3 linked regions of the Sus scrofa genome follow. The protein of the gene in region 1 purifies or fractionates together with the protein of each later gene. This does not show direct contact. Links are inferred from orthologs where the notes say so. Each region holds a gene or a part of one and is shown in the gene's direction. Other genes may lie near its edges.

Region 1 (10,164 bases):
TGCCATGCCCTTTACTCTGCTGTCAGCTGAGCTAAGTACATCTAGGCAGGCAGATGGCTTTGTTCCTTGGCCTACAACTAGATAGCCACAGGCAGAGAGGTGATAGGATACTGGAAGGAGGAGGGGCTCATGTGGGCATGCAGAGCTCCCAAGCAAATAGCAAAAAAGGGAGCATTAAGGCTACCAAAGCAGCCAAACCCAGGCCAGTTCCCTGCCTGGACACTTGTATGTGTGAACATCTTGCCCTTTTACCCCTAATGGGAGGAGTGGGGACCTGCAGTCCTCACTTATGAAGGCAGAGTTTCTGAGAGGACATTGTAGGAGAAAATGTCCCAATAAAATGTAGAAAGGAGAGACCCCAGCCGTGATGACTAAGCAAAGTCTAGCCAACTGCCCCAACCAGTCCTCCCCCATGCATCTGCTTCCGCATCTACTACCTTGCCTGACGTCACTCCAGTCCAACTAGTCAAGCTTGGACCTGGAAGACGTAGCCCATAAAAGCCTTGTGAAACCCTTCTTCCAGGCTCAGACTCTGGAGAGTGATCTCCTCTGAGCCCGCCAGTGTAATAAAACTGAGTTCTCCAACTCTCCGAGTGCTCGCTTGGTTTCTCGCCGGGTAAAAGAGCTGATCCACTGCAGCCGCAAAGCTGCTGGAGCTGGTACGCTATAGCCATGGGGCTGTCGCCAGAGCTGATACACTGCAGCGCAGGGCTGCTGGGTATCTGTCATAACAACATCACTTACCTTTGTCCCTAGGCCAAGGGTCACCCAGTTGTTCTTGGGGAGGGGCACCATGGATGTTCTCTGGCATCCCAGTCTGCCAAAGCTGCCTCCATTCCCTCATATTGTCCATCCCAGGGAGGGGTGTAGAGTCCAGGGAGTGGGGGATAGTAAGTACGGGCGGTCTCCACTGGTGTCCTGAGCCCCTGGTGTCGGTCAGGAGACTTCTGAGGCATGGTCCCTCCTGGAGCTGATATTCAAGGTAAGACAAAAGTGCAAAAATGAGTAACTTTAATGTATAGGATGCCATGGAGGAAGATAAAGCCAGGAAGGGGAGCAAGCCAGGAGGGCAGAAGGGCCACTCCAGAGACTGGGCAGGGTCTGGGAGATAATCAGCCTGTGCCTCTGGGAGGGGGCTGTGATCTTAAGGTTTGTGCCCTCACAATTTACATGTTAAATGCTAACCCCCAAGGTGAGGATGTTAGGAACAATGGGTCCTTTGAGGGTGATTAGGTCATGAGGCTGGAGTCCCCATGAGGAAATGATTGACTTTATAAAGAGGCCCCAGAGAGCTCCTCACCTCTCCTGCCATGTGAGAGAAGAGGAAGCGGGTTCACTGGAGGTTCTCACTAGATGCTGAATCTGCTGGCACCATGATCTTGGACTTCTAGTACCTTGAGAAATAAGGCTTGCTTATAAGCCTCCCAATTGTGGTGTTATTTTAACAGCCTGAAAATACCAAAAGGGTTTTGAGTAAGGGCATGTGACCTGCCTTGGGTCTGAAGAGCCTTCTGCTGCTGTGAGAGAAAAGATAGGGTGAGGGGGTTGGGGGAAGGCTAGTGGGGAAGTGAGTAAATAGTTCAGGTAGAAGGCAATAAGGTTCAAGCTACAGAGGGAACCACAGTTGGGAGGGCTGGAGGCTGAGGCTGGATCTGTCATTTACATACAGATTGGCAGATCAAATGAGGGGTGTAAGAAGTCCAAGGTGGTGGGAAGAATTTTGTCCTGAGCCTGTTTCCTCTTTTGTAAATCAGAGAGCATAATTCCCACCTCCTGGGGTGTTGGGAGGATTCAATGAGATGATGGAGGTCAAGTAACTGGCAATATTGGAGGCCTAGTTGGATCCTAACAAGCAGTGGCCCTGCTTCCTATCTTGCCAATCCCTTATACCAGCAGCCTGACCAGCCACTTTCTATGCATTCTTTGGGTCTCCTAAACCCTGTCCTGATGCCTGTCCTCCCAACACTATCACCCATCATGGCTCCTCTGGTGACAGGCCCTCTGTCCCCAGCACCTAGGAGAATCACTGCTTGTCCCCTTCCACAATCACTCTGTTTCCATTTTAAGCTCCACGGTCAATGCCTGCACCAGATTCCCACAGCCTTTTCCCCCTCTCCCTCCTCAGGCCAACCCCACATGAAGGTGTGGAGGGGGCAGGGTTTTGAGTTTGGCCAGCTTGGGTCAGAAGGGGCCACCACTTCTCACCATTCCTTCCTCCCACGTTAACCTTGCTCAAACAAGGCTTGTTCCTTCTCCCTGCTTTCCTCTATGATCTCACCCACTTAGACTAAATGATGCACCTAGGCCTGATGGTCTCCTAGGACTTGGTGCTCTCTGTGCAAAAGCCAGGTCAGACAGGCTGACTGGACATCCTACTCCTACTATGGGTAGGAGTATTGCCCTACAATTTTTTTTTAATTTAAAATTTTTATTGAATTTTTTTGGCCATACCTGGGGCATGTAGAACTTCCCAAGCCAGGGATGGAATCCACGCCATAGCAGTGACCCAAGCTGCTTCAGTGACAAAACCGGATCCTTAACCTGCTGAATTTTTTTAAATTTCACAAGTAAAATTATGCCAGTTTTTCCTCATACAAATCAAACCACTGAAAGGAATCAGGGCTCCTTGGAGAAATGGTTGATTCCAGGTCTGGGACAGAGAGTACAAGACAATACTGGAACAACTTTGCTAGAAAGTCAGAAAATGCTCAAAAATCATGGCATGTTGAAAGGACACAGAGCCAGCTGGACGAGCTCCTACTGGCCACATGTGCCATATTTGAACATTTAAGTGAATAAGGAGAGTAATGGATTGTAACTCATTAGGTAAAATAAGAACCCACAAATCCATACCACTAATGAATGAAATATCTTTCGACGAAGTGGAATAAGTACAGAAGGAATGATGAAAACAGAAAAAAAAGTATAATGGTAATTCATTTAGGCAAGAAATATCAATGGAAACTGGTAGAAAGTTTGAGGAACTCATACAACTCAATATCGAAAAAACAAACCACCGATTAAAAAAATAGGCTGGAGACCTGAATAGAAGGTCTCCAAGGAAGATATATGGATGGCTAACAGGCCCATTTAAAGGTGTTCAACATTGCTAGTTATCAAAAAAATGCAAATCAAAACCACAATGAGATATCACCTCACACATCTAGAATGGCCATCATCAAAAGGCCACAAATAACAAGTTGGTGAGGACATGGAGAAGAGAACCCTTGTACACTGTTGGTAGGAATGTTAAGTTGGTGCAGCCACTGTGGAAAACAGTATGAAGGTTCCTCAAAAAACTAAAAATTGAACCATCATATGATCCATTAATTCCACTCCTGGATATATATCCAAGGAAAATACTAATTTGAAAAGATACATGCACCCCAATATTCATAGCAGCATTATTTACAATAGCCAAGTTACAGAAACCTAAATGTCCATTAACAGATAATAAAGATTATGTGGTGTATATATATAAAATGGAATTTTGCCATTTGCAACAACATGGATGAACCTAGTGTATCATACTAAATAAGTCAGACAAATAGTATATGTTATCACTTTTAATAGTAGATAAAGAGATAAAGAGAACAAACTAGTAGTTATCAGTGAGGAGAGGGAAAGGCGAGAGGGGCAAAATAAGAGTAAGGGATTAAGAGGTACAAATTATAAAATACTTAAGCTAAAAGGATATATTGTACAGCATAGGGAATATAATCAATATTTTATAATAACTATAAATGGAGCACAATCTTTAAAAATAGTGAATCATTGTGTTGTACACCTTACTCATGTATCATAAATCAAGAATACCTCAATAAAAATTTCAAGAGCTTGAGGAGTGACGGGATAGTTGCAAAATCTAAACTGCCTTCTCATAGGATAGTAATAACAAAGGAATACCCTTGCCTCCTGACAGGATTCTGCGAATTTAGCACCCTGATGCTCCTGCCAAAGTGCATAACCTAATCTAACCATGGGGATGCATCGGTGTGTACACTTATGGCTTGCATGCCTCAGAAAGATCAAGGTCAAAGAGACAAAGAGGGAGAAAGTCTCCCAGCCTGAGCGAGAGTAAGGACTTAACTAGAACCCATGCTACAAGGGTAGGGCAGGGACGCGACGCTGGCTGGCCACGCGTCTCTGATTCGAGGCCACTGCAGTGACCTGGATAATCCTAGGGCGCATGGAAATGCCTAATTCTTAGAAAACAAGCAGGAGGCGTTTCGTACTTATTTGAGGCGAAGGTGGGCTCTACTGCTAGCGGTTTGACCATATCTTCCACTAAATACGTCCTGGGCTAGGCTGGCCTCGCCTGTCTGAGCCACCGGATTACTGTCCTCACAGCCACCCCGCCCGCGGTGCCCCCGCCGCGCCGGGCGTTCCACTCACGGCGGTTAGCACCGTGCCCGGCTCCACCCACCCACCGCTCAGCGCAGTCCACGGCCACCCCGGCCACCCAGCGCACCGCCGACCCTAGCCTCGTAAGTACCGCTGGGGGCACCGGAAAAATATCAGTTTCCGGCCTTGCGACGGCAGCTGCGCAGGCCAATCGCGGGCGAGGGCTGGCGGTCGTAGGGTACGACGGGTCTTGTAGTCGGTGGGCGAGCGGGACTACGTACCCCACATTGCCCCGCGCGGCGGCTGCGGAGGCGACAGCATGGGACGGGGCGGCCCGGGACAGGGCGCAGGCCAATCACGGGCGGGAGAAGACTGCGCGTGAAGCACGTCGGGTCTTGTAGTTCCCGCGGGCGGGACTGTGGTCCCCACAGTGCCCCGCGCGACAGCGAGCTTACTGCGGCTGCGTGGTGGTGGCGGCGGCGGCGGCAGCGGCGGTGGCCCGGGCGCCGTCGGGCTGGGTGGCGGCGGCGGCGGTTCCAGGGGCGGCGGGCGGGAGCCGGGCTTGAGCCTCGGAGGGAGTGGCACGACCCCGGCCGTGGCCACCATGTCCGCGTCGTCCGAAGAGGAGGAGTACGCGCGGCTCGTGATGGAGGCGCAGCCGGAGTGGCTGCGCGCAGAGGTGAAGCGGCTGTCGCACGAGCTGGCCGAAACCACGCGTGAGAAGATCCAGGCGGCCGAGTACGGGCTGGCAGTGCTTGAGGAGAAGCATCAGCTAAAACTACAGTTTGAGGAGCTTGAGGTGGACTATGAGGCTATCCGCAGCGAGATGGAGCAGCTCAAGGAGGTAAGGAAGGGCGGCCGCCGCCACGCCCTCCGCGCCCCCACCCCGGCCAATCCCCACACCCGACCCGGACTCCTCACCCCCGGGTCAGACAGACGTCAGCGCCGACCCCAGAGCTGTCCTCCGACCCAGGCCAAACTGACCTCGACCCCGGGACAGGCGGACCCCCGAACCGACCTCATATCCCAGGCCTTTCAGGCCAGCACTGGGGCGCCCTGGGTCGGAGGCTGCGCTGCTGTGGGGGGCGGGCCCCAGATGTGGTGGGCAGTGCGCGCTGTAGAAATTCTGGTCTCTGTGGCAAGGGCTGCTGTGGGGCCGTGTGGCCAGCCTGTCTACAGGCTCCTGATGCCAGGTCTTGGGCACGGTGGGGTGGCGTCCTTTGCGGTATTTGGCTTTCTGGGTGGGGGCATGGGATGGACACAGGTGACCGCCTGGGGAAGGACAGGCACATTACTTCTTTCATCTGGACTCAGCCGCCTTCAGCGGTCTCACAGTCTTCCGTGAACGCTGTGAGGCCATACCAGGGCCAAGTCGGGGGCTTGCTTTGCATGTGGCCACTGCCTGGACTACCCCACTGTCCCTCCCCGTGCTCAGCTCTCTCTGACCTCCCCACTAGTTACTTCTCTGGGATACAGTGCTTCCTTTGTCCACTTCCTGTCCTGGCTGCCTTCTCAGGCCCTTCCTTGCAATTGGGTGACAGGTCTGTGGATGCTTGTCATTGATAGAGCCTTGTGTCTCCTGTGCGATATACACTTGGGAGATCTGCAAGGTGGATCCCAAGGTGGCCAGAGAATCTTGCAGCCAGAGAGCTAGGCAGCCTTCCCACAAAGTAATTCTCATGGGTGATTTAAACATCCTTTTCTCTCCCAGTCCTCCCTGACTCCCCAGCCTTGTTGTGGAGGTGGGGAGGAAGAAGTTGCTTTCTGAGTGAAACACCTAGGTTTGGACCGAAACCTTTTCCCTTCCTGGAGGTGTGGCTGTGAGCAGGGGCCTTAGTGTCTTGCTCTGTAGCATCCCACCCAGAAGGGGTTGGTCTGAGGGATATTTGAAAAGTCCGGGCAAGGTGTCAGGCATCTAGCCTGTCAGTTTCTGTGAGAGCCTGCCCCTGCCCCACTTGACAATTCCCTTTTCCAGAGGGACCCTTGGCCCCTTGGCCTCAGGATCCACCATGCTTGCTGCTTCCCTAGCTGCCCACTTCCCAGCACCCCACTCCAGTGGCTCTAGGCAGGTGCCTGGACTGTTCTGAGCCTCCATGCTTCATGAGGGAGACCAGTTGGTCCCCTTCTGATAGCAGGGGAATTAATTCATGAAGGTATTTAAATCTATGCCTGTTCGAACAGGTGCCCGGTTAGTACCCGTAGAAGACTGATGTGGTATGGGAGTGGGGGTGAGGGAGCTCATGGACCCCAGGTCCTATATTGGTGCCTCCTCTGAGATCTTCAAGAGGGGCGACATTTGGCCTCTCCAGCAGGGGCCTCATCTTGGTGTGTGAAGTAGGGGAATGCGCCCAAGAAGGGGGGCTGAGGGGATCTTGAGACTATGGAGTGGGAGCACCCTAGGCTCACCCCCTCTGCAGCTCCTTGGTGAACCCAGCCCCCCCCCACCTCCACCCCCAGAGTGCATAGCAAGCCCCCACAGGCAGCATGCACAGTCCTCTTCTGTGTTCACAAGCTTGACTTGGTATCCCCTGTAAGAATAGACCAGAAGGGAAGATTGCACACAGAGCTAGCTACTCCTGCTTAGGAATCTTTCAGTTGTCAGCTCTTTACTGTTACACACATTTGGCTGGTGCAAGAATCTTGACTCAGTTTTGTAGGGTGTGTCTGGAGGGTGGGTCCCCAGGGGGATTGGGAAGACACTGTATCAGTTTGCACAGGTGTTCTTCAGGTGTCTGCTTGCTTCTTTTGATGTTACCTCCTGGCTCCCTCACACACTGGCTACATGGCCTTGGACACATCCCACTTTCCTGAACTTTGGTTTCCTCTGTGGCAGGTAGGATAAGAACCGTTCAGCTGGAAATCCCAGCAGAAGCTACAGGAAGGTGCATCACAGTCTTGGTAGATGTTTAAGGAAAGCTTGTACCAGTTTACTCAAACCCTTGTCAACCTCTCTAATTTTTTCTAATATTATTCTTGAAAGTATTGTTTCTTATTTGAAAAATCAAGATTTAACCAATATCTTTTTTATTTTTTTATTTTATTTTTAATTTTTTTTTTGTCTTTTTGCCATTTCTTGGGCCGCTCCTGCAGCATATGGAGGTTCCCAGGATAGGGGTCTAATCGGAGCTGGGGCCACCAGCCCATGCCACACCCATAGCAACACAGGATCTGAGCCACGTCTTCGACCTACACCACAGCTCACGGTAACGCCTGATCTTTAACCCACTGAGCAAGGCCAGGGATCAAACCCGCAACCTTATGGTTCCTAGTCGGATTCGTTAACCACTGCGCCACAGCGGGAACTCCCCAATGTCTTTTTTTAAAATTATTTTTCTGTAGAGAGATGAGCCATCTTCATTCTTTTAAAACTTTATTTCTTCAACTGTACTGGGTTCAGTTACTAAAAATTATCCTGCAAGTGGAGGCGCCTACATCCCTGCCTAGCATTTGTGGATAATACTGACTTTGAAGCGGGGAAGCTGACTGGCCAGTCCCAGGTCATTGGGTTTGTGACCAGACCTGAGGAGGATTCCGTGAGCCAGTGGGCAGTGGTGCTGGCCCTGCGGTCTTTCTCACTTGGTGAGTGTGTGTGTCCTGCTGAAACCAGGGTGTGTGCAGGGACCCACTGGCCCATTTTGTCTAACCATTTTGCTGGTGACTCATTCTGGCTTAATAATGTCCCCATCTGCCCCAAGTTCTTCTATACCCCCTTCCCAGCATGGTGGGGAAGAGAATTGGACAGATTTTGCGCCGTATGGTGTTTCCTAAGTAGCAGTGGAATATCTTACCCTGTGTCCTCAGCTGCAGTTTCAAGAAGGCAGGTGTGCTGGGCTGACAGTTCCTGCCTTGGGAGGGGGGGGTTGGGCAGGTACCATGAGTGGGTGGTTCTTGTAGGTTGGGAATGTGAGGGCTGGAGAGCATGCCCCAGGCCAGTGGCTGGGGTCCTGGTGCAGTCTCAGCCCCACCCTTGCTCAGCTCCCAGAGAGAGAAGGAAGATGAGGTATGGATGCCCTTGCTCTCTTCTCTGCCGCTTTGGGGTCTTATCAGTGCAGGTGGAATTTGGTGAGCTGCAGCCTGTCACAGGCTGGAACTGGTGCCCAGGATATATAGTAAGTGCTTACTCAATAAGTTTCTGCTAGCTGGTGTCATCAGCTCCTTCCCTCCATCTCACCCAGGCCTGGATCCCCTCCCTGCTGTCTCTGTAGTCACCTTGTCTCTGTTCATTGTTCTTTTGAGGTTTGGCGTGGCCCCACTGTGTCTCCCAGAGGGTGGCCTGAGCTGCTGCCTGGGGCCTCTGGCCTGGCTCAGCCTGTTCCCCCTTGTCCTGGTTGCTTTTACTGTCCTCACCCTGCCAGTCTTGGATCTTGAAAGCCCCGCCTGCCCTTAAAGGACTGGACGCTTTTCAAAGCCTCCTCTGGTCGCCACCTCTGGACTTACCTAAGCCAGCTCCCAACCTCCGGATGTCCCTCCCATGTGTAGGCTCAGCAGCCTCCTGAAGAACTGTGGCAGAGCTGGGGGGAGCAGCTGCTCTGTCTTCTTCCCTCCCTCATTCCCGTCCCTCTTGTAGTCTCCTCTCTCAGAGGATGGGGCAGCCAAGGTCAGGATGGGTGTAAGTGACTGAGGAAGGTCCTGTAGCTCAGACCGAGCTGTAAGTGGCTGTTGGACACCAGATTCCTGTCCATACCTTTGTAGAAGTCACTGCCAGGAGCTAGCTCATGGGGCAGTGGCGGGGGGCGGGGGTTGTTGAGGAGGGCCCCTCAGGCCTCACCCCTGTGGGGGAGCTGCTCCTGCCCTAGACTCCCCATGCCCCACCAACTCCTGCAGTCCTCCCACCAGCCCTTAGGGTCACCACTTTGTTATGTCTGTTTCTGGGGAAACTGAGGCACAGAGAAGTTGTGTTCCACTCAAGGCTGTGAGCCTAGGCATTCTTCCCCAAGAGGGCAGGCACTTGTGGAGGAGGAGGCCTCTGTGCAAGGCCCAGTCTCATCAAGTGTTTGCTTTAGGGCAGGAAAAGTCCTCATTTGGCTAAATCCTGTAAGGATTATGCTCATCTGGACCACCCTAGAACTTGGAGCAGAGGAGCAAGCAGCTGTGTACATCAGTGTTCTTGGGTGTGGCTTCGGATGTGTGGCCTGGGCGCTGTGAAAGAGCTGCCTTTCCACAACTGGTGCATGAGGGAGGCCAGGCATGAGTGTGGCGCTGCCTGGATAGGCAAGGAGGCGCTTCCTGTTCTGACCAGAGCCGTTGTTGTCCCTCTCTGGTTCTAGGGGAGCAACTGGACCCAGCCTGGGCCCTTTGGACCTGTGTGGCCGTGGAGGAGTGCCTCTGTCCTGAGGATCAGGCTGGTGTACCTAGTGCACATGGGCACATGGTGGCTGAGGCCCCGGGTCTGAGTAGCTGCCTCAGAGAGAGCCAGGGCCAGGTAGACACAGGCTTCTGCTGGGCCTTCCCACTTCAGGGACCCTGACCCCTTTCTGTGAAGGAGGAACTTACCCTTGTGAGTTTGGGGCAGCTACCCTTTAATCAGACCCGCTTCTCTACATCTATACACTGGTAAAAGGGCCACTGCACATGTCAAAGGTAAAGAAAGATTTGGTTTCTTTTTTTTCCATACCCTTGGCATGCAGAAGTTGCCAGGCCAGGGATCAAATCTTTGCCAGAGCAGTAACCAGAACCATAGCAGTGGCAATACCAGATCCTTAACCCACTGAGCTACCAGGGAACTCCTGGTTTCTTCTTAGACAGTGACGTGAAGGTGGCTAGTAGGCGGGGGCTGGCCAGGACCCTGCAGGCTCTGATGAATCCCATATTGTCTGGTGT
Region 2 (9,631 bases), on another chromosome or scaffold:
CCAAAATATACAAATAGCTCTCATACAATTCAGTTTCAAAAAACCAAACAACCTCATTGAAAAATGGGCAGAAGACCTAAATAGACATTTACCCAAAGATGACATGCAGATAGATGGCCAACAGGTACATGAAAAATATGCTCATCATCACTAATTACTAGAGAAATGCAAATCAAAATCACAATGAAGTACTACCTTACACTGGTCAGAATGACCATCAAAAAGTCTACAAATAATAAATGCTGGAGAGGGTTTGGTAAAAAGGGAAAACTTGTACACTGTTGGTGGGAATGTAAATTGGTGCACCCACTATGAAAGATAGTTTGGAGTTTCTTTAAAAAAACTAAAAATAGAGTTACCATATGATCCAGCAATCCTACTCCTGGGCATATATCTGGCAAAGATTCATAACTCTAATTCAAAAAGCACATGCAGCCCAATGTTCATAGCAGCGCTATAAATAGCCAAGACATGGAAGCAAACCAGTGGGGGCCCATCAACAGATGACTGGATTAAGATGTGGTATATATTATGCAATTGATCATTACTGAGCCATAAAAAGAAATGAAATACTGCCATTTTCAGCAACATGGATGGACCTAGAGAAAGTAATGCCCAACTAAAATAAATCAGAGAAATACAGATACTATATATCACTTATATGTGGACTCTAAAAAAATGATACAAATGAATATATATAATTACAAATATACAAAATACACAAAACAGATTCACAAACATAGAAAACTTATGGTTACCACAGGGAAAAATGGGAGGAGGGGTACATTAGGAATATGGGATTAACAGAGAAAATATATATAAAATAGATAGGCAACAAAGATTTACTATGTAATACAGGGAACTATATTCAATATTTTCTAATAGCCTATAATGGAAAATATGAGGAAAATGATATATACACTTACATGTAAATGTAATATGTATAATTGAATCATTTTGCTGTATACCTGAAACAAAATATTTTAACTCAACTATATTAAAATTAAAAAAAATCTTCAAAGATTTTGGTGAAACTTATTTAAACTTAACCTCTGAATTTAATGTTTTATAAATGAAAAATATTAAAATTGTTACTTTGATTTCTTTAACAAGTAAAATAACTATTACCATATTAATAACAATATACACAGAAATTCATTGAATTTCTATACACTAACAATGAAAGATCAAAAAGAAATTGAGGAAATGATCCCATTTACCATTGAATCAAAAAGAAAATAAATGGGAATATACCTACCTAAGAATGTAAAAGACTTGTACTCTGAAAACTACAAGACACTGATGAAAGAAACTGAAGACAATACAAAGAGATAGAAAGATAAACCATGTTCTTGGACTGGAAGAATAAATATTGTTAAAATGACTGTACTACCCAAGGTAATCTACACATTCAGTGCAATCCCTATCAAATTAGCAATGGCAGTTTTTTACAGAACCAGAACAAAAAAATTAACTTGTATGGAAACAAAAGACTCCAAATAGCCAAAGCAATCCTGAGAAAGAAAAATGGAGATGGAGGAATCAGCCGCCCTGATTTCAGACTATACTACAAAGCTACAGTTATCAAAACAGTATGGTACTGAAACAAAAGTAGACTATAGATCAATGGAACAGGATAGAAAGCCCAGAAATAAACCTGTGCATGTATGGTCAAATAACCTGTGACAAAGGGGGCAAGAATGTACAATGGAGAAAATACAGCCTCTTCAATACATGGTGCTGGGAAAACCAGACAGCTAAATGTAAAAGAATGAAATTAGAACATTTTCTAACACAAAATAAACTCAAAATAGAGTAAAGACCTAAATTAAGACTGGATACTATAAAACTCCTAGGGGAAAACATAGGCAGAATACTCTTTGACATAAATTCTAGCAATTAACTACATCTGTCTCCTAGAATAATGGAAATAAGAACAGAAATAAATAAATGGGACATAATTAAAAGCTTTTTCACAGCAAAGGAAACCATAAAACAAAAAGACATACTAAAGAATGGGAGAAAATATTTTCAAACAATGCAACCGACAAGGGATTAATTTCTAAAATATACAAGTAGCTAATATAGCTCAATATCAAAAAAACAAACAACCCAAGCCAAAAATGTGCAGAAGATCTAAATACACATTTCTGAAAAGATACACAGATGGCCAACAGGCACATGAAAAGATGCTCAGTATCACTAATTATTAAAGAAATGCAAATCAAAACCATAACAGGGTATTACCTTACTCAAGTCAGAATGGCCGTCATCAAAAAGTCTACAACTAATAAATTATTTGTAGGGTGTGGAGAAAGGGAACCCCCCCACACACTGTTGGTGAGAATGTAAATTGGTGTAGCCAGTATGAAAAACAGTTTGGGAGGTTAGTTAAAAAACTAAAAATAGAAGTTCCCATTGTGGCTCAGAGCTAATGAACCCAACTAGCATCCATGAGGATGCGGGTTTGATCCCTGGCCTTGCTTAGTGGGTTAAGGATCTGGCGGTGCTGTGAGCTATGGTGTAGGTTGCAGATATGGCTCAGATCCAGCATTGCTATGGTGTAGGCTGGCAGCCACAGCAGATTCGACCCCTAGCCTGGGAACTTTTCATTTGCCACATATGGCCCTAAAAAAGAAAAGAAAAGAAAAGAACTAAAAATAGAGATACAATGTGATCCAGCAATCCCCACTCCTGGGCATCTATGCAGAGAAAACCATAATTCAAAAAGGTACATGCACCCCAGTGTTCCTGGCAGCACCATTTACAATAGCCAAGACATGGAAGCAACCTAAATGTCCATTGACGGATGAATGGATAAAGAAGATGTGGTCCATATATACAATGGAATATATTACCTAGTCATAAAGAAGAATGAAATGCTAGAGTTCCCATCGTGGCTCAGTGGTTAACGAATCCGACTAGGAACCATGAGGTTGTGGGTTTGATCCCTGACCTTGCTCAGTGGGTTACGGATCTGGCATTGCCGTGAGCTGTGGTGTAGGTTACAGACGTGGCTCGGATCCCGAGTTGCTGTGGCTCTGGCGAAGGCAAAAAGACAAAAAAAAAAAAAAAAAGAAAAGAAATACTGCCATTTACAGGAGCATTAATGGACCTAGAGACTATTGCACTTATTGAAGTAAGACAAATCCCTATAATACTCCTTCTATGTGGGCATCTAAAAAATAAAAAATGAACTTATTTCCAAAATAGACCCAGAGACATAGAAAATAAACTCACGGTTACCAAAGGGGAAGACGGGGAGGGATAAATTAAGAGTTGTGTATTAATGTACACAAACTACTATATGTAAAATAGATAACCAACAAGGATCTATTATATAGCATAGGGAGCTATAGTCAATATTTTGTAATAACACATAAGGGAAAAGGATCTGAAAAAGAATATATGTGCTCTAAACCAGAACATTGTAAATCACACCTAAATAAAATACTTTGATTAACAAAGGAATATTGAGATTTCAGAAAATTCATTTTTGGAAAGTTAGATGTGCAACTATATATGTCACAATGATACTTAATTCTGTTCCAGACTGTATCTGGACATATACTCAAACCTTAATGTTTCATAATCTTTTTTGAAATTATAGTTGATTTACAGTGTTCTATTTCTGCTGCACAACAAAGTGACCCAGTCATACATACATACATTCTTTTTCTATCTTCCATCATGTTCTACCACAAGAGATTGAACATGGTTCCCTGTGCTGTACCAATAATAGATAACAGTGTTGTTTTTAGGAGCCAAACCCTTAGAGTGTATAGCTTTTATTAGTTAGACCTGTTTTTTCCCAATATTTAATGTTATATGCAGTTATGAGGTATTTTAATTTGATTCTCACCTTATATGAAAAAAAGTTATAAATGTTATCATGATTGGCTTTTGTCTCTTCTTGGGCTTTTGTGATTCTTTTTTGGGAAGATTTGGTCAGTAAATGGAGAAGAGACAAGAAATAATGGACCTACTCTTTATAAATGTGTTGCCAACCCATTGCTGCTCTTGCTTTTGATTAGCTCTTTTGTATAATTGATTTTGAGGACTTCATTTCCCCAGTATAGTAGTTTCTAAAGTTGGAGAGAAAAATGAATAGTAGCGGAACAGAGAAAAGAGCTCAAAATTAGAGAAAATGAACTGAGCAAAGGGGTAACAGTGCCATTTAAGACTATTGTTGACTTGTGTCATTGTCTAAAAAAGAATTTGGATGCACTTCAGTAACTAGGGAAGTATTTAAGCATTCAGAACTACATGAGAATTTATGCATTTCTCAACATCAGACATAAGAAAGTAAGAAGTACCAAAATAAATCATTTTAAAAAAACTTACCCCACCTGTATATCATTTCCAGAATTATATCCTGGAAACATTTAACCTCAAGACCAGACCGTTAATTGAAGGATATACTTTGTAGGATGATGTTGCCACTTCCCAGTAAGTTGTCTTGGGTAGACGGTATCTGAGAATATCATCCACTGTAATAAAAATTTTAAGAGAATCTAATCATTTGGCTTCATATTGTAAGCAATCTTTCAGCTGTAAATGTGATCACAAAGTTTAGATTTGTTTACTTTTTTATTTTTGAAAATGTATGTTGATTGCAACAAATGAGTGCCATTAATGCTTATGGAATGTATGGATAGCCTGTGGAGAACTAGTATTTGTTGATGGTTTACATCGTCTTATACGGTAATCCTCCAAGAAAATGGCTCCGCTCCACAGTTTAAATAAATTTTATCCTATGTGAACACCATTCAAACTTCTACTTTATCCTGTTTCTCATCTTCAAATATTTTTTTTATTCCAAACACTTGTATGATATCTTTAAACAATTCATTTTTGAATGCTATGTAGCGAAATCATTATCCTTTAAATCAGCTAACAAAAACTCATACATGCAGTTTGTGTCAGGTGGAGTTAATTTTCTCCTCACTGAATTCTGCACAGGAGAAGATATTATGTGGGAAATTTTATAAATTCTCCTTTTCAGTGATTCATTATAGCATACTGGGTAAAGATGTAAATACTGGAACCAGAAGACATGGGCACTGATAGTTGTTAGTTTTGCAAGCTTGGCAAAATGATTTAATCTTTCTGTGTCTCAGTTTCTTCTGTAAAATGAAAATACTAACATTATCCTACATAGGACTGCTGTTAAGAATGAGTAGAATATATGTAGAATATGTAACACAGAACTCTTAGTTACTATTATTATTATTCACAGGCACCATCATATAGAAAAGCCAGAGCTTCATATCACAGTAGTAAGATTTCTTCGTATGTGTAATTTATACTCTTGTCATGTATATTGGCATATTAGCAGCCCTTTTTTGAAAAGGAATCAATAGCATTCACTTATTAAGACAATATCATGGTTATTTAAAAATTCCTAATAAAGCAGTTTTTATTTGTCGTTCTCACTGTAAGTCTGGTCTTCTTAGGATGAAGTTTCATCACTGAAAGGGCTTTAACATAGCTGCTATATTAATGGTACAGTTCACATAAGTTTTTAATATTTTCTGAATCCCATGAGTGATTTTGCTTCTGAGAATGACATTATTCTCCTGAATTGTCAGTTTAAGAGCAATACTTCAGCGATCTGATTCAAGGACGACTGTCTGGTACTCTTTACATTCCAGGGGAAACGTCTGTTTCAGGAGCAACAGTCTATGGGCTTCAGTTTTCAGACATAAAAGAGATGTTGTTCACCATCTTCCATTAATTTGCTTTGCAGCTCGCAGTTCCCCACAATGATGAGTGGACCCGATTTGCCAGGACCCTCGTGGAGATCCGCGCCAACAGAGCTGATAGCGAGGAGGAAGGCACTGTTGAGTTAACCGCCTAGTGGAAATGAACTGCCCCCACCTTGACCTTCTCAAACTCGGCCTCTGCAGTCGTCAAGTCCACTTGTATTAAGTGTCCATTCAGTATCAGTATTGCCATGACCTTGGGGTGCCATGTTGTACCTGCTTTGCTCCAAGTATTCCAAATGTATCCCACCCTACTGTCCACTGACCTGAAATTCACCAGACCATTTCTACCTTTATATTTCTGTCTCAAAAATGGGGGTGGGGGTGGAGCCTTTATGGGTTTAGTTGTTGCCTTTTAACTACTTAGTAGCTGTATTTAATAGCTGGAAACCTCTGGTTAAATTTGTGCTTACATGCACTTCTGGCATAGTCCTATTAAATCCATATGAAGCCAGATATGATTAGGTGCAGATGTGGTGTACTTCATGATATGGGACAGGGCCAGAGACTTGAGATGTGGTGTTTTACATGGTGGTGACTCACATTATGAATGGATTTACTAGAAGAACATTGCTGCTCCTTATTTATTGTGGTGTGCTGCATGGAACATATTTATTTGAAAGCATTAAAATAAACGATCCTAGAGCATGTGCATAATGAGAGGACCGCATTGTCTCTCTGTTGCTGTTGAGGTTACATTAAGTTCCAAATAACAATTACAGTATGCCAGTTCCACTGAGGACATGAAATCTTTAGAGGTTTGTTGCAATGAATGGAATGAATTTTAATGCCTATTACTTCCAGGTACTTTAACAATATTTCAAATATAGTTGACCATTGATACTTGTCATTCAAGCTAACCCACTGTGACAAAAGTCTGTGGTTCCTAAATATGATACCAGTATTGCCAATAAAATGTTCCAAATCAAGTCTGCACCAGTGTGGATAAATCCTTTGCTTGGGAAAAGCCTGATTAAAATTCTGCTGTGGCCAGGGGGTAGGAGAGATACATTAGGGCCATGTTAAAGACTGATAATGAATTTACAGGCAGGCAGCCTAGCTGGACTTAAACCAAGACTGGTTTTATTTTTATTAAGGAACGTGTGTGGTATTTATGGAAAGCTCTTTCTTGTCTTTACCAAAGCCACTTTTACCCAAGATTGTCTCAAACACTGGAGTAAGAAGAACAGGTTTAAATGAACAAGTATCACATATCTAACATATTTCATTATTTTAAAATTTATACCAGAAAATTATGTTTATTACTATTGAACTAGGAAATGTCTATAAACAACTTTACAGGACTTTTTTTTTTCAAAAAGTCATTTCATGCCTAGAGAGAATTAAAATAAATAGTGGTTGAGTCATGAAAAACATTTGAAGGTAGTCTTTGGCTCTTTAGGAAGAGAATTTCCATGGTGCTTTGTTGGGAGGGATTCTCTGACCTGAGAGATTTTTATTTTTGAAATAACGATATGCTTTTCTGTAAGTGCCATATGGTATGTTAATACTGAAACTCTTTGTCAGTTAAATTTGTAAAGATAAACTATGAGTGTCCAAAATAGGTATAAAAGCAATCCAACGAAAAGTACTGGGGGAAAAGTTTCTCAAACATGTGCTAAAGGATCTAAGAACAAATCAGCCTCCCGTGAGTCACTTATAGACCAAACTCTAAATGCTTCAGTGAGTGAAGACTATGAAAAGTGCCAAAGCCAGAGTCACTTGTAGCAGGCACACGAAGAATTACAAGTGGTTACGTGTGTGTATAACCCACTACAGTAGCTAGTCTCCAAGATGGTCTCTCACTTCTTGTGTTGTTCCATCATGAATGTGGGATGGCCTTGTGTAAATAAAGACTATGGGGGAAATGATGCTATGTGGGGTTCAGGACAAGGTTATAAGAAGACTTATAGCTTCCTTCTGGGTCTCTTGGCACACTCCCTCTAAATCCCCAAGCCATTGTGCAAGTACAACTTACCCTGAGATTCCTAGGCTGTACAAATGCCTAAGCTCATCATAGAGTAGCCATGCAGATATATAGATAGCCAGCCAGCCCACAGCCATTCAGGCTGTCCCAGCTAGAACGTGGGAGCCATGAAAATTTGCCTCTACTAGACCTCTTATTGCAAAGACGGTAATTGACTGACAGCTCCAGCTGCTTTGCTCTGAAAACTCCATCACCTGGTTTGACCAAGGCCATGCTTCCCACAGGCTGCTTCCAGCCAAAACTGAGCATGGCAAGGATAGTAAGGCAGGCCTGTTGCTGGGAGATGGAAGATTTCTCTGAGATGTTAACTGTCTCAAGGACTTCCTGTAAGCATGGCTAAAACTTTCTTGGAACCCTACTAAGTCTAAGACTAATCTACCTTCTTTCCTTTCTACCTTGCTTTTTCCCTTCCTCCCTGACCCCCTACCTTCAACCTCACCTTCTCTCCTCCTTCCTCCCTTTCTACCTTTCCTCCCTCCCTCCCTCTTTCTTAGGGTCAGATCAATATCACACTGATGACTCTCTCAGCATAATGTGCTGAGGCCATGCTGAGCCTGATCAGGGAGTAATGAGACTATACACCAAAACAGTTATAAGAATTAGCATGTGCCATTAGAGGCCAGAGAGATAGCACTGGGGTTGGATTTTGAGGAGTTTGACTAAGAGGGCCAGAATCTAAGACCAGATAGGTAAGAATTCATTGACTTTGAGGCCCTTTTTGGGGCTATGTGATTTTATATTCTGGCAAGGACATAGTATGGCAGGGCATAGGGTTGCTGTTACAGTGGCCCTCAGAAGTCTGAAAAAGCTGTGGCCTACATTTAATAAAATGAAAATGTCTGAGTTGCCCTGACTGATAGTACAAATAGGAATAAAGAGGAGGAGGGTAGTAAACGTGTAAGAATGGATATATTGTGAGCCCAGAAGACATATCCTAGAGTTAGCCTGGTGCCCCAAGAGTATACACGCTTCACCAAAGCCATTAGTAGCAATGAGCTAGTGAGAGAGGCAAAAGCATCTCTAGCTATTTTAGTGGCGGTCTCTGTTATAGGTGAGAGCTTATAGGAGAGACAGTCACAGAGAAGAACTTTTTAATATCTATAGAAATGACGAGACCTCGAAGTAACAGTGGCTAGGCAGAGGCTGTTAACCACCGAAGCCAGGAATGGTCAGTCTAGGTACCCACTACTACATTTCATCGAATTTGTCCTTATACAATACAACACTGTCTTGATTGTTACAGCTTTTACTGTGTCTTAAAATCAGGTAGTGTTAGGTACTCCAATTCTGTTATTCATTGTGAAACATCGTTTCAGCTTTTCTAGGCCTTTTGGCTTTCCACATGAATTTTACAATCATTATGAATTTTTAATTTAATTAGTCAATTTATTTTTTGCTTTTTAGGGCTGTACTGGTGGCACATGGGAGTTCCCAAGCTAGGGTTTGAATAGGAGTTGCAACTGACGGCCTATATATACCACAGCCACAGCAGCACCAGATCTGAGCCGTCTCTGCAACCTACACCACAGCTCACGCAACACCAGATCCCACTGAATGAGGCCTCATGGATAATAGTCAGATTTGTTTCCGCTGCACCACAATGGGACCTCCCTGAAATTCTTAAAGCCGTATTGCTTGGATTTCTAATGGGATCTCATTAAACTATATATCAATTTTTGAGAATGGACATCGTAATTTTGCATCTTCTAATATATGAACAGGGTGTATCTTTCCATTTATTGAAACTTCTTTATCTCATGTTTTTAGTGTATAGGTTGTGTACCTTTTTTTTTTGGATTCCTAGATATTTCAATTTTTATTCCATTATAAATGTTATTTTAAAATTTTATCTTGCAAATGATTTTGGCTAATTTTCAGA
Region 3 (10,298 bases), about 5.1 Mb from region 1:
CCAAGGTAAGAAGAAAAAAGGGGATTTTATTTGAGCGAAATTTAGGATTATAACCTGGGAAGCAAGTTCCCGGAAAGCTGAGAACCCTCCACTTGTTAAAAGTCAAAGGTACAGTCATATGTTTTCAAGACAAAGGATGGTACATCCAAGCGACACACTGATTGATATTTTACATGAAGTTCACCAAACATAAATAGTCCTGCTGAGCACATACAAAGGGCAGCGGGTCCCCATGACCTCCTACAGAGCTAGAAAAGAACACTAATTATTATTATTATTATTATTTGCATCGTTCAGGTCAAATCAAAGTTCCCCAGCCAGGAAATGAACCTGTGCCACAGCATCGACAGTGACAACTCTGGATCTTTACCCCTCTGCACCACAAAAGAACTCCAAGAAAGCTATTCTTTTAAGAAGTTAACATTGCCAGCTCAGGAAAAACAGGGAAAAATGATTTTTACCTTCGAGTGGGTACTCCCACTTTTTTTTTTTCCTTGCAGCATGTGGAAGTTCCTAGGGCAGGGATGGAACCCAAACCACAGCAGTGACAATGCTGGATTCTGGATCCATTGAGCCACCAGAGAACTCCTGAAAGCAGAAGTTTCGTTTTGTCTTTTTAGGGCCACCCCCATTGCACATACAGGCTCCCAGGCTAGGGGTCAAATCAGAGCTGTAGCCACCAGCCTATACCACAGCTCACGGCAACTCCGGATACTTAACCCACTGAGCGAGGCCAGGGATCAAACCCTCATCATCATGGATACTAGCCATTTTCGGTTCCACTGAGCCATGATGGAAACTCCTGAAAGCAGAAGTTTTTAAATGAAAATTATGTCCAAGAACAAACCATAACGTTGGTGGCAACAAGCAGTCATGTTGGTTCCTCCTGTTTTCTGAGGTTGTCTATGAACATTTTAATCTTATCATGTCTTCCAAGTTCAGTCATGAGAATTTTCTTAGGGCTACCTACAAAGCAGTCTTTTAGGTTTACTAGAGAATGATACAAATTTAGAAGCTGAGAAAATGATGGGATGAACTGACAGTATTATCAATGATTCTGAAGAAAAAAATGAATCATATGATACATGAAAGAGAATGTGTCTGCCACGGATGACAATCTGCCACAAGGACAGAGGGGCTTGAGTGGAAAAAAAAAAAAATGAGTTTGATCAGCTTCAGTGCTGGGTGCCCGTCAGTTAATTAATTCAGAAGTTGAGGGCTCAGATTAATCAGGTAAAACTGGCTAATAAAAAAAAAGTCGTAAGCCAGATATTTCTATGGTTTCAACTCTCATTTGAATTAAATTTGCAAGGCATCAACATGAGTGATTGAGGCATTAAAGTGGCATCTGACAACTTGCAAAGAACATTAGTTAGCTGTGTGATTCAGAGGAATTGCTTGTGAGAATAAGTTTGGATGGAACTGGTCCATGCTGAGAAAAGAAGGGACATCTTCCTGGAGAAGAATGTTCATTTTTAAAGCCCAGCAGAAGAGACTCATCCCCCCATTTGGCAAAAACCAAGGTTTCAAAGCATAATAAATGTACTTAAGGAAAGCCTTTTTTTTTTTTTTTTCTCTTTTTAGGCCACACCCATGGCATGTGGAGGTTCCCAGGCTAGGGGTTGAATTGGAGCTGCAGCTGCTGGACCACATCACAGCCACACAACGCAGGATCCTTAACCCACTGAGCAAGGCCAGGGATCGAACTTGCAATCTCATGGTTCCTAGTCACATTCGTTTCCCCTGTGCCATGACGGAAACTCCAAGGAAAGCCTTTTGAGAACGTCAAGATTTTCTCTTCAGCCTACTTCTTTTCTGTATCTTCAACTACAGCAGATTAAAAGTAGTCATTTTACTAGGTGTGCTTGGGAAAATTGCTTGACCATTCACGCCCTTTGTTTCTTTATAGGTCAATTTATGCACAATAATAAGAGTAACTTCACGAAATTGCTGGGAGAATCAAATGAAATTCACTTGCAAGTAAGCTTTGGCTATTATCACCAACACTGTCCACAAGGCTTATGACAGCCAAGTTGCCACAGAACCCAGTCCTACGACTTCACCTGCAGGCTGGGCATCTCCACTTGAATACACAAATGGAAACTCAGGTGAAATAAATCAACACCTAAAGTGAGATATTCCATCCAGGACCAGTTTTCTTTACACTGTACTTCCGTTAATTATGCCAATCCCAGTAGCAACCTCACAATTGATCCTGAACCCAGTTCCCTCTGCTTACAGCTCAACAGGCCAGTACATCGGGATACTGAGGCCAGGAATAATGACTTTAATTGGAAAGCCGGCAGACTAGTGTCTCAAAAAAACCATCTTGCCTTTCTCTGAATTCAGGTTCCTTTTGTACAGAGAAAGGGGAGGGGGAGAGGCCAGTGGTCACTCACCAATGGTCCCTTGCTTGGGGGAAAGGCCCACTGCAATGCTGACCTGAGGCTGAGCAGGACCACTAAAGTTCACCCACTAACAGTGGCTTGTTTACAGAATCATTCCTGCCTTAGTACTCTTATTCATATCCAAAATGACTGAAATGAAATAGGACGGGCTGATTTTCCCTCTTTACAGAGGCAGTAATTGGTCATTGCCAAGTTTGGAAAATGGGAGTTCCCATTGTGGCCCAGCAGTAACAAATCTGGCTAGTATCACAAATACCATGAGGGCTCCGGTTAGATCCCTGGCCCTGCTCTGTGGGTGTTGCCTGAGCTGTGGTGTAGGCTGGCAGCTGGAGCTCGGATTTGACCCCTGGCCTGGGAAGTTCCATACGCCGCAGGTGAGGCCCATAAAAAGCCAAAAAAAAAAAAAAAAAAAAAAAGAAGGAAGTTTGGAAAATGGAAAAATAAAAAAGGATAGATTCTAAGTGGCCAGGCGACTTTTAAGTGTTGGATAAAACCATAAAGTCTATAAGCAAAAAATAAAAATAAACCATAACTATAAATTCTAAACTCCCTGTATACACTGATGTGATCTGCTGAAATCTGAAACCTACTGAAAACACCTTATTTTTGCTTTGTAAGGCTACACCCAAGGAATACTGAAATTCCCAGGATAGGTGCTGAATCAGAGCTGTAGCTGCCCGCCTACACCATGGCCACAGCAACGCGGCATCCTTGTACCATTGAGCTAGGGCAGGGATCGAACCGGAGCCCTCATGAATATTGGTCGGGCTCTTTTCTATGGAAGCACAACAGGAGCTCCGGAAGACGCTTTCTAAACGCCTACGACTGGCGCCGAGGTGTGACTGTTAGGAACGTCCGTGGGTTGGACCAGTCCCCGTCGCCTCGTTGTCACTACGTCACCTTCGCATTCCCGCGCACCTCGCTAGCATAGTCACCACCGAACGCCGGCGCCCGAGGGCCTGCGCGGCGCACAGTGATGACGCAACACGCACGTACGCACGCATGCACGCACGCGTGTCTGCCCCTCGCCGGCTACGGAGCTGCGTCACGGACCTTCGGGCGCCGAGCTCCTGAGACGGCGGCAGCTGCGGCCTCGGCGCTGGCGTCCCTCGCGCGGACCCCGCTCGGCGGCGCGATGCGGCGTAGCAAGGCGGACGTGGAGCGGTACATCGCCTCAGTGCAGGGCTCCGCTCCGTCGCCCCGAGAGGTGAGCGGGATGGGCGCGCGGCCTCCGGGCGGGCCGCGGCGCCATGGCTCCCACTGAGGCGCGGCCGGCGCGCGGGGGGCGGGGAGGCGGCGGGCGGGCGTTGGCGCGGCGCTCCCTTCTGCTTTTCCTTCTCCTTCTCTTCCTCTTCGTCCTCTACGGCGCCCGGCCGGCCCCGCTGTGCCCACTGCCCGGGCTCCACGCCGAGGCGCTGCCGCTTCGGCGCGGCCGCCTCGCCATCCCTCACACTCTGCATTGGAAGCTGCTTTTGCCGACTTTCGTTTTCCCGCTGGGTCGCGGGGGTTCTGAGTTCCTTCCCGGGCCTTATTGCTGGGGTAGACGTAGATGTCTCTTAGGGTACTTCCCCTTGTTCCCACGTAGGGAGTTGGCCACATCGTGGATCCGACCGGACGTGGTGCCTAGAGGGGACGGGGACGGGGACGGCGAGTAGGGGGTGGGCGCAGGATCCCGAGTCACTTCCCTGGGGTGGAGTCATAGCTATGCTGGACACAGGCTGTGGGATTTGAAGCAAGTTCTGTTTATTTCGTTAATAGGGCGGAATCAGGCTACTGATAGGAGTTTTTAGTATGTCCCGTGTTAAACATTAACGGAAGTGTTTAGCGCATTAAGTGCTCGCAGTAGATATGGGTGTTAAAGTACAGTCATTTAAGGTGTTCCGGGTAGGGGAACTTCCATATGCTGCGGGCCTGGCTCTTAAAAATAAATAAATAAATACATAAAAATGGAAAAGAAAGGTGTTTTTTTTTTTTTTTTTTTAGTGCCATCTTGACAGTTGTGTATTGCTGTTGTCATAAACTTCCTCTGTCTTTCAAATTATGAATTCGTGGGAGGTCCCTGGTAGCCTAGTGGTTAAGGATCTGGTGTCACTGCTGTGGTTCAGGGTCAGTCTCTAGCCCAGGAACTCGCGCATGCCGCGAGGATCAACGCAGGATCCAAGCCACATCTGCAACCCACACCGCAGCTCACTATACCGCAGCTCATTTAAAAAAAAAAAGTATGAATTTGTGGGTTGGGGAAGAAAGGCTCTGTATATTCAATTCTGGTGTATTCCTCTTTTTGCTTTTTATTTATTTAGTCTTTTTAGGGCCGCATCTGCGGCATATGGAGGTTCCCAAGCTAGGGTCCAATCGGAGCTGTACCTGCCAGCCTAGCCAGAGCCACAGCAACGCCAAATCCCACCACGTCTGCGACCTACACCACAGCTCCCGGCAACTCCAGATCCTCAACCCATTGAGTAAGGCCAGGGATCAAACCCTCAACCTCATGGTTCTTTGCTTTTTAAAATCGTTTCTTGCTAACTACAGTTCTATCCTTCTTGACCTGTTTTTCTCGGGTGTTTAAGATTCCTGAATGAAGGTTAAGACTGTCTGTAGTTCGAGTACATACTATTAAGGCTGTACAGTAAATACTGTCATAATAACATTATGTGGAATTATTTCTTAGGTGTATGTCACTGTTTTGACATAAAATTAGAACATACATATATTTTTTGTTTTGTTTCATTTTTAGGGCCACACCTGTGGCACATGGAAGTTCCCAGGCTAGGGGTTGAATCAGAGCTGCAGCTGCTGGGCTACACCACAGCCAAGCAGGATCCAAGCCGCATCTTCGACCTACACCGCAGCTCACTACCCTGCAGCTCACAGCAATGACTGATCCTTAACCCACTGAGCAGGGCCAGAGTTCAAACCCACATCCTCATGGATACTAGTTGGATTTGTTATCACTGAGCCACATGGGAACTCCTAAAATTAAAGTATATTTTCATCAGCTTTATTGAGGAGTAATTTACATGCCATACAACTCATCATTCAAAATGTACAGTTTAGGAGTTCCCATCATGGTGCAGCGGAAACGAATCCGGCTAGGAACCACGAGGTTGCGGGTTTGATCCCTGGCCTCTCTCAGTGGGTTAAGGATCTGGTGTTGCTGGGAGCTGTGGTGTAGGTTGCAGACATGGCTTGGATCTGGCATTGCTGTGGCTCTGTTGTAGGCCAGAGGCTACAGCTCTGATTCAACCCCTAGCCTGGGAATCTCCGTATGCCTCAGGTGCGGCCCTAAAAAGAAAAAAAAAAAAGTACAGTGTAATGAGTTTTGGTACATTATATTGTTGATGTTTTAAATTATGGTAAACCAGGTGTAACAAAATTTGCCCATTTTAACTACTTTTACGTGTGTAATTCGGTAGTGTTAATTGCACAGGTAATGTGCCACTTTCACTACTATTTCCAAAATTTTTCATCACCACAAACAGAAACTTTGTAACTCTTGAGTGATAACTCCCTAGGTTCCTCTTCTCCCTAACTAACCCCCGGTTACATTTAATTTACTTCTGTATGAATTTGCCTATTTTATTTTATTTTGTTTTATGTTTTTGCTTTTTAGGGCTGCACCCACGGCAAATGGAGGTTCCCAGGCTAGGGGTCAAATCAAAGGTACAACTGCCAGCTTACGCCAGAGCACAGCAGTGCCAGAAGCGAGCCGCGTCTGCAACCTGCACCACAGCTCATAGCAATGCTGGATCCTTAACCCACTGATCAAGGCCATGGATCAAACCCATGTCTTCATGGATACTAGTTGGGTTTGTTAACCACTGAGCTACGACAGGAACTCCCCATCACCATCTATTGAAGAGACTCTTCTTTTTCCATTGAGTGGACTTGGCACGTTTGTCAGAAATCAGTTGGCAGTAGCTTTATGGGTTTATTTTTGAGCTCTCAATTTTGTTTCATTAGTTTGTTATGTCCATTCTTATGTCATTACCACGTTGTGTAATGTGGTAGTGCTGTAGTGTTGTAGTTCAGTTTGAAATTGGGAAGTGGTGAGTTTTCCAACTTTGTTCTATTTCAAGGATGTCTGTTTGGGGCCCCTGCAGTTCCATATGAATATAAGGATTGCTGTTCCCATTTCTGTAGAAAGGGTTATTTTTCATTGGCACTGCATTGACTCTAGATTGCTTTCGGTAGTTGACAATGTTAGGTCATCCATTCATGAATACGTCTTCCTCTACTTAGGTCTTTTATTTTTTTCAACAGTGTTTTAATTTTTCATTATATGGGTTTTTCACCCCCCTGGTTAAATTTATTCCCAGGTACTTTATTCTTTTACGTGCTCTTGTAAATGGGGCTGCTTTCTTAATTACCTCTTTTGCTTGTTCAGCACAGGTGACTTTTGTCTGTTGATCTTGTCCCCTGCAGTGTTGCTGTTTTGGTTTCTTAGCTCTAGGTTTTTTTTTGCATGTGTGGATTCTTTGTGATTTTCTCTATATAGGATTGTATCATCATATTAATAGAGATAGTTTCATTTTTTTCCTTTCAATTCAAATTTGGATGTTTTTTATTTCTTTTTCCTGTCTAAGTATTCTAACTAGAGCTTCCAATACAATATTAACTAGGAGAGGTGAAAGCCAGACTTCCCACTATGACACAGTGGGTTGGGAATCTGACTGCAGCAGCCCTGGTCTCTGCAGAGGTGTGGGTTAGATCCCCAGGCAGGTGCAGTGGGTTTAAAAGGAGCTAGCATTGTCGAAGCTGTGCCTTGCATTCAGTCCTTGGCCCAAGAACTTCCCTATGCCGTGGGTGCAGCCATTAAAAAAAAAAAGTGGTGAAAGGCATTCCTAATCTTGGGGAAAGCCTTTAATCTTTTATCACTGCTAAAAGATACTAGCTGTGGGCTTTTCACTAATGGCTTTTATAATGTTGTGGATATTCTTTGCTTTTTGAGAGAATCCTTGTATCCATAGTTTTCTGAGAATTTTTAGTCACGGATGGGTATTGGGTTTTGTCACATGCTTTTTTTGGTAGCATTTGAGATGATTGTGTGGTTTATTTCCTTTGCTCTTTTAATGTGATGTATTAATTTATTCATTTTCTTGTATTGAGCCCCTCCTTGCATTTCTGGTATAAATCCCATTCGATTATAGTGTGTAATACTTTTAACATCCTCTTAGATTCATTTTGCTGAGGGTACTTGGTTGAGAATTAGAGTTAAGAATTCTTTTTTTTGGAGTTCCCATCGTGGCGCAGTGGAAACGAATCCGACTAGGAACCATGAGGTTGCGGGTTTGGTCCCTGGCCTTGCTCAGTGGGTTAAGGATGTGGCGTTGCTGTGAGCTGTGGGTCGCAGATGTGGCTCGGATCCCACACTGCTGTGGCTGTGGTGTGGGCCGGTGGCTGTAGCTTTGATTGGACCCCTGGCCTGGAAACCTCCATGTGCTGCAGGTGTGGCCCTAAAAAGCAAAAAAAAAAAAAAAAAAAAATTCTTTTATTTAAAAATTTTTTTTCTTCTTTTTCTTTTTAGGGCCACACCCATGGCATATGGAGGTTCCCAGGCCTAGGGATCTAATTGGAGCTACAGCTGCTGGCTTACAACGCAGCCATAGCAACTCAAGATCCAGGTCTCGTCTTCGACCTATACGGCAGTTCACATCAAAGCCAGGTCCTTAACCCACTGTGTGAAGCCAGGTACCCAACCCACAATCTCATGGTTCTTAGTCGGATTTGTTTCTGCTGCACCATGACAGAAACTCCAAGAATTCTTTTTTAAATTAGACTTTTTGGAGTTCCCGTCGTGGCGCAGTGGTTAATGAATCCGACTAGGAACCATGAGGTTGCAGGTTCGGTCCCTGGCCTTGCTCAGTGGGTTAAGGATCTGGCGTTGCCGTGAGCTGTGGTGTAGGTTGCAGACTCGGCTCGGATCCCGAGTTGCTGTGGTTCTGGCGTAGGCTGGTGGCTATAGCTTCGATTCAACCCCTAGCCTGGGAGCCTCCATATGCCGCTTGAGCGGCCCAAGAAATAGCAACAACAACAACAACAAAAGACAAAAAAAAAAAAAAAAAAATTAGACTTTTTTCCTTTCTTTCTGTCTGTCTGTCTGGTTTTTTTTTTTTTTTTTTTTTTGCTTTTCAGGGCTGCACCTGTTGTATATGGAGGTTCCCAGGCTAGGGGTTGAAACAGAGCTGCAGCTGCTGGCCTACACCACAGCCACAACCACTCAGGATCTGAGCTTCATCCTCCACCTACACCACAGCTAACAGCAATGCTGGATCCTTAACCCACCAAATAGAGGCCAGGGATCAAACCCACAACCTCACGGTTACTAGTCAAATTTGTAACCTGCCGAACAACAGTGGGAACTCCCTAATTAGACTAATTTTTTAGAATGGTACTTTCACAGAGTTCCTGTTGGGGCTCAGTGGTTAACCAGACTAGTATCCATGAGGATACAGGTTCGATCCCTGGCCTTGTTCAGCGGGTTAAGGATCCTGTGTTGCTGTGGCTGTGGTATAGGCCAGCAGCTACACCTCTGATTCTACCCCTAGCCTGGGAACCTCCATATGCTGAGGGTACAGCCTTAAAAAGACAAAAGACAAAAAAAAAAAAAAAAAGAACAGTAGTTTCACAGCAGAAATGCAGTGAAGGTAGATTTCTTCATACTCCCTGCTGTACAAGTGCATGGCCTCCGCCATTGTCAACACTTCCCCCAGAGTAGGATACTTGTTGAAAGTGATGAACCTACAATTACTATGTTCTTGTCACCCAGAGTCCACAGTTTACCTTAGGGTTCCCTCTTCATGTTGAACATTCTGTGGGTTTAAGGATGTGTATCCATCATTACTGTGTCATACAGAATAGTTTCACTGCCCTCAAAATCTCTGTGCTTGGCCTCCTCATCCCTTCTTTCTCCCAGCTACTGGCAACCACTGATTTTTTTATTATCTGCATAGTTTTGCCCTTTCCAAAATGTCATATAGTCGAATCATACAGAATGTAGTCTTTTTAAAATGACTTCTTTTACTTAGTAGTAAAGATTTAAGTCTTCTCCATGTTTCTTTTTATTGGTTCCATTGCCACCTGAAATGCCACTGTGCTGCTGTGTTGTCTTGCCTAGATGGGAATCTTAGAAGGATTCAGTCAGAACCTCACTGATGTCAGCCGTGACTCAGTTGCTTCTCAGGAAAGCTTATGCCCCCATTGTCTGAGCTGTGGTTCTTCCTCTTGCACTGAAACAACCCATCATTATTAGAGTGAAACCAACCTGTCCCATGAAGGTCTAAATCCTGCTCACACTGGGTGCAGATCTCAACACAGCTCTGTTAGTGAGTGAACCATTCAGTAGTAGGTGAATTCTCTTTACAAGGATGGCAAGAAGTGACATGAAGGGCCAAGTGAGGTCTCTGAATGTTTGGCTGCCTAAAGTAGGTTTATGATACCTCTTGCTTAAACTTAAAAAGGTCAAGGAGTTCCCACTGTGACGCAGTGGGTTATGCATCTGACTGCAGCGGCTTGGGTTTGATCCCAGCCTGGTGTGCATTAAAAGGATCCAGTATTGCCACAGCTGTAACTATGGCTCAGATTCAGTCTCTGACCCAGGAGCTTCCATATGCCATGGGTGCAGCCATACAGTTGAAAAAAGGAGTTCCCGTCATGGCTCGGTGGAAACGAATCTGACTAGGATTCAAGAGGACACAGGTTTGATCCCTGGCCTGACTCAGTGGGTTGAGATTCTGGCCTTGCTGTGAGCTGTGGTGTTGGTCATATGTGGCTTGGATCCCTAGTTGCTGTGGCTGTGGTGTAGGCCGGCAACTACGGCTCCGATTCAGCCCCTAGCCTGGGAACCTCCATATGTCACCGGTGTGGCCCTAAAAAGACAGAAAAAAAAGAAAA

Evidence for each region.
Region 2: the proteins of BICD2 (region 1) and DYNC1I1 purify together in Homo sapiens (affinity purification with western blotting; 4 studies listed by BioGRID and IntAct, with this or other methods). This does not show direct contact. The link is inferred for Sus scrofa from reciprocal best matches to the Homo sapiens genes BICD2 and DYNC1I1.
Region 3: the proteins of BICD2 (region 1) and E3 SUMO-protein ligase RanBP2 purify together in Homo sapiens (affinity purification with western blotting; 3 studies listed by BioGRID and IntAct, with this or other methods). This does not show direct contact. The link is inferred for Sus scrofa from reciprocal best matches to the Homo sapiens genes BICD2 and RANBP2.

The regions. Positions count from the first base shown.
Region 1 is NC_010445.4:42,451,434-42,461,597, reverse strand, and holds the start of BICD2 (protein bicaudal D homolog 2), read left to right. Parts: upstream 1-4,776; 5' UTR 4,777-4,948; coding exon 4,949-5,188; intron 5,189-10,164. UniProt on the Homo sapiens protein: Acts as an adapter protein linking the dynein motor complex to various cargos and converts dynein from a non-processive to a highly processive motor in the presence of dynactin.
Region 2 is NC_010451.4:75,753,829-75,763,459, forward strand, and holds the end of DYNC1I1 (cytoplasmic dynein 1 intermediate chain 1), read left to right. Parts: intron 1-5,749; coding exon 5,750-5,860; 3' UTR 5,861-6,699; downstream 6,700-9,631. UniProt on the Homo sapiens protein: Acts as one of several non-catalytic accessory components of the cytoplasmic dynein 1 complex that are thought to be involved in linking dynein to cargos and to adapter proteins that regulate dynein function.
Region 3 is NC_010445.4:47,594,466-47,604,763, reverse strand, and holds the start of E3 SUMO-protein ligase RanBP2, read left to right. Parts: upstream 1-3,435; 5' UTR 3,436-3,543; coding exon 3,544-3,615; intron 3,616-10,298. UniProt on the Homo sapiens protein: E3 SUMO-protein ligase which facilitates SUMO1 and SUMO2 conjugation by UBE2I. Involved in transport factor (Ran-GTP, karyopherin)-mediated protein import via the F-G repeat-containing domain which acts as a docking site for substrates.